2 linked regions of the Arabidopsis thaliana genome follow. The protein of the gene in region 2 interacts with the protein of the main gene of each other region in a pairwise test. Each region holds a gene or a part of one and is shown on either strand. Other genes may lie near its edges.

Region 1 (4,702 bases), on a different chromosome or scaffold from region 2:
GACCTTTTGCTGATTTATAAAAACTGACTTTAGTTAATATTGGTTTTTAATTTCTGTAATTTTTGGACCCTAAAACCTTAAAGAAAATTGAAAAAAAAATTGAGGACCCTGTGCTTTTGCTCCTCTAGCACTCCCCTAGAGCCGGCACTGGTGCGACATTTTGCAACAAATGAAACAACGGAATTTTCCAACTCATTATGTTGCGGCTATCGCTTTACATATGTTTCGAAAATGTTTCTTTTTTGGTTTGGTTAAAAGTTAAAACATATACCATTATTTAGCTACCAAAAAATGTTATTATCAAACTATTTGGCTGCATCAATTTCAATGGTTATATTGTTTAACCACAACACTCATCTGGTAATGAGAAGGACAACTTCGAATAAAATTTTTAAGATGAATACAAGTCGGCCAAGTGATGCTTGTGGTATGAATATATTTATCACGAAAACAATGTGCTAAATTAAACATATCTATAGTGATGTTTTAGTCGATCCACCAAGACACTGTCCAATAAGTTACAATGTGTATGTATGATTTAAAAAGTCAGGATAAAAAGCTGCTAAATTCTGCACCTAGAAGAACAAAAGAGATGATATAGCCACCAAAATTATCACGACATGGACTGATCTCATTCTGAAAAGTCTTTTTTGAGTTTTCAACTTCCAATCTTATCTTCTTATATACATGCATACTCAGGTTAAATAGTAAAAACAAGAAGAAAAAAAAAGACAACAACAAAAACAACAATAATGGCCTTTCATTCTCAGCTTTTTACATGATTAAAGGTATAGCCAAAGTTGGAAGGAACAAAAGTTAAAAGAGCTTTTACAGAGAATAAAAATTTCATCTTCTTTTTTCAAAAAGAGTTTTGCAGACATGCATGAGATAATTATTACAGTATGTTCTAATTATCTCCTTAATTAATTAAAATGCTTATAAACACAGATTGCTTATGTAATCTCATCGTCTAGTGTCTTGAAGACATGGGAATATCAGATCAGATCAAATGTTTCTCTGGACCAAAAAAAAAGTAAAAAACCAATGATTAACTCTTATATATAACAAAAACCAGATGTACATTTATAAAGCTTTGAGACTCTCTGTCTGAAATAAAAGTTTCTAAAAAGACTCTTCAGTGCATCATCTTCTCTTGCTTACTGCATCCAACTGCAAATATACAGAGGAACCCTTTTAATCATATAGCTCTAATAAATCATCTAAACATATAAGAACAGAAGCTTACATGTCAAGGCAGATGAAATCTCAGAGCTTTTAATCACACGCAGTCTCTTCACAGATGAAACAAACATTCTGTGTTTAAAAACAAAGATTAAAGATCAGTTAGTATGCAAAAAAAGAGGTATAAACAAATCTCCAAGCAAAATTCTATTCTTTAGGTAAAGAATTATCAATTTGAATTACTACTACTATTGATTAAAAGCTGAGAACTTTTGTTGTTATATGATCAAGAATCTAATTCTGCAAAACACTGAATCAGATTCAGAGAACAAAAGGGGAAAAGATTCTTACTGCCATGGAACATCCCCAACAAGCATCTTGTCCCCTTCATTGTCTTCATAGGTTAAAGTAAATTCTCCTTTCCCATCTAATAATCCAATGATAGGTTTCTCTTCTCCTTGACCATCAGAGATATCTCTTTGAGCTATAAACCAACAACATACACAAATCATACTCAGTAAACACAAGTAACACTCCTAAAGAACTAAAAAACAGAATTTGAGATTAAGATTTAACCTGCGAGTAGACCTCTGAAGAGTTTGTCAACGACAAAAGAGAGCTGTTCGTAGCTGTTGTAAGCATTGAGATCAACTTTACGACCAATAGGAACACCATCCATGTTGATCTTGACAAACATTCCTTCCTTCTTGGTTTCAACTTGTTTTTCACCATCATCACTCTTGTTGATTTGACCTCCATGAGAGGATTCGTTACCTAGCTTTGAAGAGCTTGTGCTCGCTAGATTCTTTCTGAACGAACGAACCGGAGGCCAACCCACCACTGGACCAGGAGCAGTTCTTTGAACCAGATATCAAAAGAAACAAGAGACATATGTCAATACCAAACGACAAAAACAGAGCAAAACAGAGTAAATGTTGAAACTTTTAACATGTGAAGGTAAAAAAAAAAACACAGATTGCAGAAGATGGGTCCCTAATGTTCAAGAGAATATCCTCTGTCAAAGCAGTAAGAAAAAATAACAGTGAAGGAAAAAAAAGGAGATTATACCTTTTCTGTGAGATGTGAGGAACAGAAGTGGTTTTGTTGGAAGGAGAGAAGTGATTGCCATTAAAACAGTGGAAAGATTTGTCTTCTGTTTCCTTCTTGATGTTTCTTATCTCTGTGTTCTTCTTCTTGATTGCTGAATGATCTTCTTCATCACCACCGGGTGGTCCAAGCCTTAGCTCAAGTTTCTTCTCCTGATCTGTGTTGTTCTTGTCTTCTTGGTACCATTTCCTTCCTTGTGGAATCAAATCAAGAAGTTTTGGACCGATTTCTCTGTTTCTTGGACAACCTTCCATTGATCAACCCAAGATTCCTTCTATACGTTAACTATGTATGAAATTGAAATCTATAGCTTCACTAAACCCTAAGAACCCCTTTTAAAGAAACAATCCCACAAAACTGAGAGCGAGAGAGAGAAAGAGAGATGTGTAATGAAGGTATGGTAAGAGAGCAGTGGTGGGATTTTATACAAAATCAAAGCTTTTTTTTTCTCTCTCTCGTGCACGCTTTGGTGGGTTCTCTCTCACACAGCCTTACCTTTTTTTCTTTCTCAATTTGTTGTTCTCTCTCTCTAAAGATTCTGAAAGGGACGAGAAGAGAAAAAATAGGAATACAAAGAAAAGGAAATTTGGATTTGTATGAACAAAAAAAAACTCAGAAAAAGGTAAAGCAAAGTAGAGTGACTCCACTTTTACTCCTAAACCCCAAAAGTAGAAATGAAAACTACAATAAATTTACAGATTGCATACCAAGAAAAACAGTAATTGTTCTTGACATGAAAAGAGAATACTGTGAAAAAAAAGAAGTGGGTTTTAACGTTTTTGGTTTTAGGAGTTCTTTTGTGGAGTAAAACACACGCAACCTTGTCTTTTTTTCTGCCTCAAATATCGCTAATTAAGGGTTTGTCTAGTAAAAGAAGCAAAGCGTGCTGTTCTGTTTCTCACAAGTATACGAATTAGAAAAATAATTAAATGCGTAATTCCAATAAACAACTTGACCATTAAAAAAATACTAATAAGAGTAATTAAAATATGATAACAATAAAGGAACTAAGGGAAGATCCCATAATTTATGGTCTGTTTTTAGGACCACTCTCTTATCCACTGTCCATAAGACACATATCCCTATGCTTTTCTAAAAACATTTTTCTATAGGTCGTCATGGTAATTTGATACTTTAATAGTAATACTACCATTCTACAAAGATATACATAAAGCAAATAATAAATGAACATCATGGGAAGATCAATTGAGAGAATTCAAGAAATGGGTGAGGCATTGTATAAACATACGAATCTGCATGGCGTCTCAGTGAGATATATGTAATTATTTATTTATAAATTTGCCACACAATATGTCAATTTGTTAGGTAGCTAAACAATTATTTTGTCAAAAGTTAAAAACAATGTGTACGTGTGGATTACGATGGTATAATTTAATTTGCTTCCCCAACCAAGTAAATAGTCAACTGTTTGTTTGTTTTTCCTAATCAAAAATTTTCTTTTCTCAAATCTACAAAATCAACATATTTTGATAAAAATAACAAAAGAAAAGACTTTAGCAGAAACAATTGTAGTTGGTCCTTTGATCTTAAAAAATGTACATAATTTTGCAGCGTAAATCAAGAACATATTTCAAGTTTTTCAACCAAAGATTGAAGCTATTTTATTTGGTTTTTCAGGAGGGGGAAAAGAATGTACATGTCTCTCCCACGTACGTGTGACACCGATATTACGATAAAGCCGACGTAGAAAAATCTCGAGTGAGAGTTCCGGTCAAGTAAGGAAGGGTAATTTAGGAAATTGAAGAAGGAGTGTGTCTCTAGTCATATCTTGTCGCCGTTTTACCCAACTCCGTGACTTTCTTCCCTCACTGTCAGACAAAACCTTAACCATGGTTAACATAACCTGAACCTCTCCGGTTTAACTTAACCGCACTAACTAGATCCGCACAGACAAACTAGACAGTGGACACATGTTGAAGTTGCACAAGATTTTGAGATCGTACGATAAGGTTTAAATTTGGGCTTTAATCAAAGCCGTAGAAGTGAATAGAGATATAGCAAATGTGACGGCTGTGATTAAAAGAGTACAAAGCAAAGCATCCGATTAAAAAAGTAGCCGACTCAGGAGAAAAGGAACAAAAAAACAACTCGTGAATTGAATGTCATATCAAGGGAAATAAAGAAAAGCAAGTGAGAATAGTGGTGGTGTCAATGATGCTCTTCCTAGAATTTTCACCAAGAAATAAAATTATTTTTATCCACTCACTAATTTTTTTAGTGAACTAAAAAAGGAGTATATGTAAGAAATTGATATCATTTTAACAAAATAAAAAGAGGAATAAAAGAAAAAATAATCCAAATATGGATAAGGTCTGAACTGATCCTCTAGTATAACTGGCCCATGAAAATCACGCTGAAAATGAGCCCAATTGTTGATCATCAATGTTCATGA
Region 2 (4,698 bases):
TTCTGCCTGCATCATGATTGGAGTTGATGGACAGTACCCGATGAACAATCTGAAGATACACTGCTCTTGTATATTAAAAGATGCTGATGCTTGTGAGCTGGTTGTTATGGATGAGGTGTGGTATCCTGATCCAAAAGCTTTCACAAACATGTATTTTGGATCAGATCACCTTCTCTTATTCAGCAGAACCTGCACGTCCATGGAAGCTTACAGCGAAGCCCTGTTTGAATTCTCAGTCGAAAACACAGAAGGAGATTCCTTTAGCCCGCTTGGAGAGGTTAAAAAATGTGCGGTACACCTTATATCACTCAAAGACATGATGCAAGAGTTCTCTAATGACTCTGACAAAATTCAGAGTTCTGATTTGGATCTTCCAAAGGCATTTGATGACGCAAGAATTTTGAAAAGAAGAGCATATGAAACTGAGTTCTTGCATAAGGAACAACTAAATCCCAAGAGGATCAAGTTTCTTCCAGTTCCTTTGGCTCGAGAGCGTCATTCCAAATTACATCAGCGAAATGTCATACGAAAGTAAAAAAAATTACTTGGTTTGCTTGTAAACATAATTATTATATATTGATTGATCACATATATTTTGATAACATCAACATATCATGAACTTGATCTTTGAAGAAGCAAGTACAAGAAAACTTCCGCTATAAGAAGCAAAGGTCCAAGTAACAAGATTTACTATGATAGAGATAGAGAGTGAACACAACGAACCCGAGGAGATAAATTACAATCTGAAACCTCCCGGAGACGCGATACAAAATCCAATTGTCGCTACCTCGACTCTACATGTTGCACTGCTAGAATAAAGAAGCCATCTAATCTTTTCTACCTACAAGGGCTGTGTACAAACAAATTCTTACCATTCCGGATGATTTAAGGCGTTCGATTGTACTTGAGATGTTGCTCATAGAATTCAATCAGCTGGTGTGGGAAAAACAAATTAGAAAAGCTAATAAGAAACTTCCAAATGAGTAAGTGCAGAAAAAAAAAGCTATAAAGATAATCTTACGAGATGAGGATTGTGAGCCTTGAGAAATCTGTTGTCCACCAATGCTTCCTTCCCATCAGACCTATGAGAGTAACCAAATAAGTACAATTGTACAAATATGAAATCAAATTACGAGAAATGACCAAAGAGCTAAAGAGACAAACCTCAGCGCTAAAAAGGTCACCAACACTTCCTGGACATTGTCTGATACAGATGCTGTAAAACTCATTGGTTTAAGTATCTTCGTGATGTCCAACTCCTCAATCTTGGTTTTCTGAGACAAATTACAATTTTCCATCACACCAGGATATTCATTCCCCATCCTTGCAATCCTACCAAAAGAGTCTAATGTAGTCAAATCTGGTGTCAGATTCTGATCTGTAGGTGCTGTGTGGTTGTTACTTGTGGATCCATCTTGTTTGAATCTTTTCACAGAACCAGACTTCCTCCGCTTAGCACCTATGAAACGACTGTTCTTATCAAGCTCCTTAGGATAAACCTTGAGAAGGCCATTGGGTCTTACATTATCACCTTCAGAACCAATGCCTCCTCCTTGAGAACATCCTGCACCGTTACTATTGTTGACTGGTCCTCGTAGCTCGTTAAGTGTTGGATCATATTCTTTCTCATTGTCAATCAAACGAACTTGTCGGGCCATCCCAACACTCCCACTGTTGGCTTCAACTTGGTTGGATACATAAGCATTCTTCGCTTCCACATCTCTATTTAATAGACTCGAACCGCTTAGGTCTAGTGGATCAGGAATGTCAGGAAGGCTAGAGTTGTTGAGAGACGTAGAAGAGTCAGATTTCTCAGTAGCATCATGTGATGTAGATGTTAAACGTTGCTTCTTCTTCATCTGAGAATGAGGACCTGCATATTTGCGCTTCCGTTTCCTACCAGGCTTTCCTGGCTTCAAACTTTGAAACATATGAAACAAGAAAGCAAATCCATACATTAAACCAAGAAAATCCATGAAACAATCAATTCAAAAGTATCACAAAACTTTTATATAAGATTCCATTTACTTACCTTCCCTCAAAGGCATCTATAACATCAGCAATAGACTGGAGATTCTCTAAAGGCTCCCATGTGTTGGCAGTTTCAGGCCATCCGCGCCTTTCACAACCGAGTTTATAACTTATGTCAATGGAAAAACATATGTTTAATCAAGAACAACAAACTTAAAAATGAAACCAAGTAAGATTAGAAAAACTCACCATTTAATTAGATACTGAACCTTGCCCTACAAATACAAAAAAAAAAACAGTACCAAAATGCAGAATCAGAATCATTCAATCAATCAAATCCAAGAAGATATCAAACATTAAAGATCATTTTCTTCCTACAACATATAACAACCACAGAATCAAAACTTTGGTTCGTTATAAACTACTCTGTTACGATGATTACTAACTACTAAAGCAGCCACTTTCTCACACCAATGTGTAACCTACGTTTGATACTTATCTTAAACCTAGAAAACCTAAAACCTCAACTAATTATGGTTAACAAAAACAAACCACATTTGCTGAGTGAAGACGAAAAAAGGAGCTTACTTTTCGAACTCTCTTACGACGAATAGCTTCAATTTCATAAAACCCTTCATCAAGCTTTGGCCTTTCCTCTTGCCCACCTTCTCCTTCTCCTTCTTCATCTTCCTCATCACCTCCATCATCTTCATCCTCGTCCTCTTCTTCTTCTTCATCTCCATCCTCCGTAGGCCTATCATCACCAATCTCGCGAAGAATCGACTCTCCACTTCCACCTCCACCTCCCCCTCCGCCGTCGTCACTGCCAAACCCACCGTCTCCACTAATTTTCCGGCTTTCTCCGACTGTTTCCACCGCCGTCTCCGCCTCACCAGCTTCGTTCAACACCTGGGGTTTCTTCTTAACAGCACCACTTGCCCCTTTCATTTCCTGAGTATTCGAGCCTCCCAAACCTGAAGGAGGAGGGTGAATCAAGGTAATCGCGTTCTCTTCTCTTCTTCTCCTTTTTAGAAATCAAGGATTTTGGAGGAAGAAGATGAAGAAAGATTGAAACTTTTTCTCTATTTCTGAGGTTTTTGTTTTTGCAGGAAGAAGACCTGACCTGACCTCAAAGACCAGTTTTTTCACTTTTTTGGATTCTCTTTTTTTTTTTTTTTTTTAATATCACAATAGGAAAAGTTGAATACAGCAAATTCTTAACGTTTATAATCTAATTAGAAGAGATTATTTCTAATTACTAATATGAAAATAATAAATACTACTGAAGAAAATATGTGAAGGTAAATTAAATCGAAAAATATATTAAACTGAAAACATTTTCTTTAAATTAGAAATAAAAGAACATCGTGCTCTTGCTCCTTTTACAAGGAAATCAACTAGGACATTATTACAACTTAAAAAAAAATCAAAGGAGATTGAAAAATCAGAAAATAAGTCTCATAAACTAAGATTCTCACTCCAAGTCTCCAAGTGCACTGCAAAGGCAGACAACTTAGTTGGATCTCCTAACATCATCATCAATAATTTTCAGCAATATCTCATCCAAACCAACAGAAAAGAAAGTCCTTCTCCAAGATAAACTTCATCGAGATTCAGATTCTTTCATTCCAAAGTATAGTTATCTTGATAGTAACTATGTGATTACTGCTCGAGTTTTAGCCTCAACTTTTGGTGGGCTAAAGTTCTATTTTCTTCAGTTTAGTGTGTTTGTTCTATACTTTGTCCAACCAAAACTTGTTTCTTTGTGATTAGTACTTGTACACTAAATGATGCATGTTTTGATCGCTTTGTTAAATTTGAATTGTTACTATAAAATTTGCAGTTCTTTTTTTGTTTAAACGTTAGAAAAATAATAATTACTATTATTATTTAAAATGGTGATATGAAAGAAGTAAAAAGGAAGAAAAAAAACATTCATTAGGATCGGTTCATAAATAGGGGGAAAAATGGAACGTTTTGACTTCAACATAAATAAATGAGTATTTTATTTGATGGTGAGCTTATGAAAGTTTGTAACGTTTCCTCGAAATATATATGAGAATATTTTTTTTGTAAAAATTCACGATTACAAGCACTCAAACAAATGGAATTTTTTTCCCCACACACAAAATATACATCCATTAAAAAATCAAGAAAGAAGTTAAAATTTCAAACCTCCCACAATTTTTTTTTTGTTTAGAAAGAGTATATCCGAAGAACAAGAGAACAACCTTTTTCTCTGATAAAAGAAAAAGTTCATCCTTCTTAACCTTTTTCAAAGTTATGAGAGTTGCATTAACCTAATAATGCAATCTCAACACCGATACTTCATTCTTAGGGAATGCAAAACACAACCACAATACAACATAAATTATTCTTTCTTTTTTTATAAAGAATTTCTTAAAAGATTTCTTTAAATTAACTTAGTTGTATGTTCACTTTCTCTCTTCATCTCTTGTGGAGATAGTAGTCGATTGTACAGCAGGTAAATTTAGAGTCCACGTTTTCATACGCTCGTTTGTCTTCTTAACCTGTAATTAGATAAAATTATACATTTAATATGACGAATTTTCTAATAAAAATTTTGAGTTATATATTAAAAGTAAATTACCTCCAATTCCCAGTCAGTTTTGTAAATAACATAACACAATATCAACGTTTGGATACCAACTCCAGCCAACATTCCGGACCAGAGTCCCTGCATACAATATCATTTATTCAAGTTAA

Evidence for each region.
Region 1: the proteins of TFL2 (region 2) and PAP1 interact in binary tests that used the Arabidopsis thaliana proteins (3 or more experiments, as listed by UniProt).

What each region holds. Positions count from the first base shown.
Region 1 is NC_003074.8:5,611,666-5,616,367, forward strand, and holds PAP1 (phytochrome-associated protein 1), read right to left. Parts: upstream 3,139-4,702; 5' UTR 2,544-3,138; coding exon 2,251-2,543; intron 2,040-2,250; coding exon 1,759-2,039; intron 1,667-1,758; coding exon 1,534-1,666; intron 1,315-1,533; coding exon 1,247-1,314; coding exon of another isoform or gene 1,221-1,246; exon of another isoform or gene 1,171-1,220; coding exon 1,136-1,170; 3' UTR 538-1,135; downstream 1-537. UniProt on the Arabidopsis thaliana protein: Aux/IAA proteins are short-lived transcriptional factors that function as repressors of early auxin response genes at low auxin concentrations.
Region 2 is NC_003076.8:5,826,619-5,831,316, forward strand, and holds TFL2 (uncharacterized protein), read right to left. Parts: upstream 3,143-4,698; 5' UTR 2,920-3,142; coding exon 2,560-2,919; intron 2,247-2,559; coding exon 2,221-2,246; intron 2,141-2,220; coding exon 2,033-2,140; intron 1,921-2,032; coding exon 1,165-1,920; intron 1,083-1,164; coding exon 1,022-1,082; coding exon of another isoform or gene 1,004-1,021; exon of another isoform or gene 934-1,003; coding exon 886-933; 3' UTR 553-885; downstream 1-552. Other genes in the region: AT5G17680 (disease resistance protein (TIR-NBS-LRR class)), read left to right, coding at 1-535; AT5G17700 (MATE efflux family protein), read right to left, coding at 4,407-4,502, 4,583-4,669.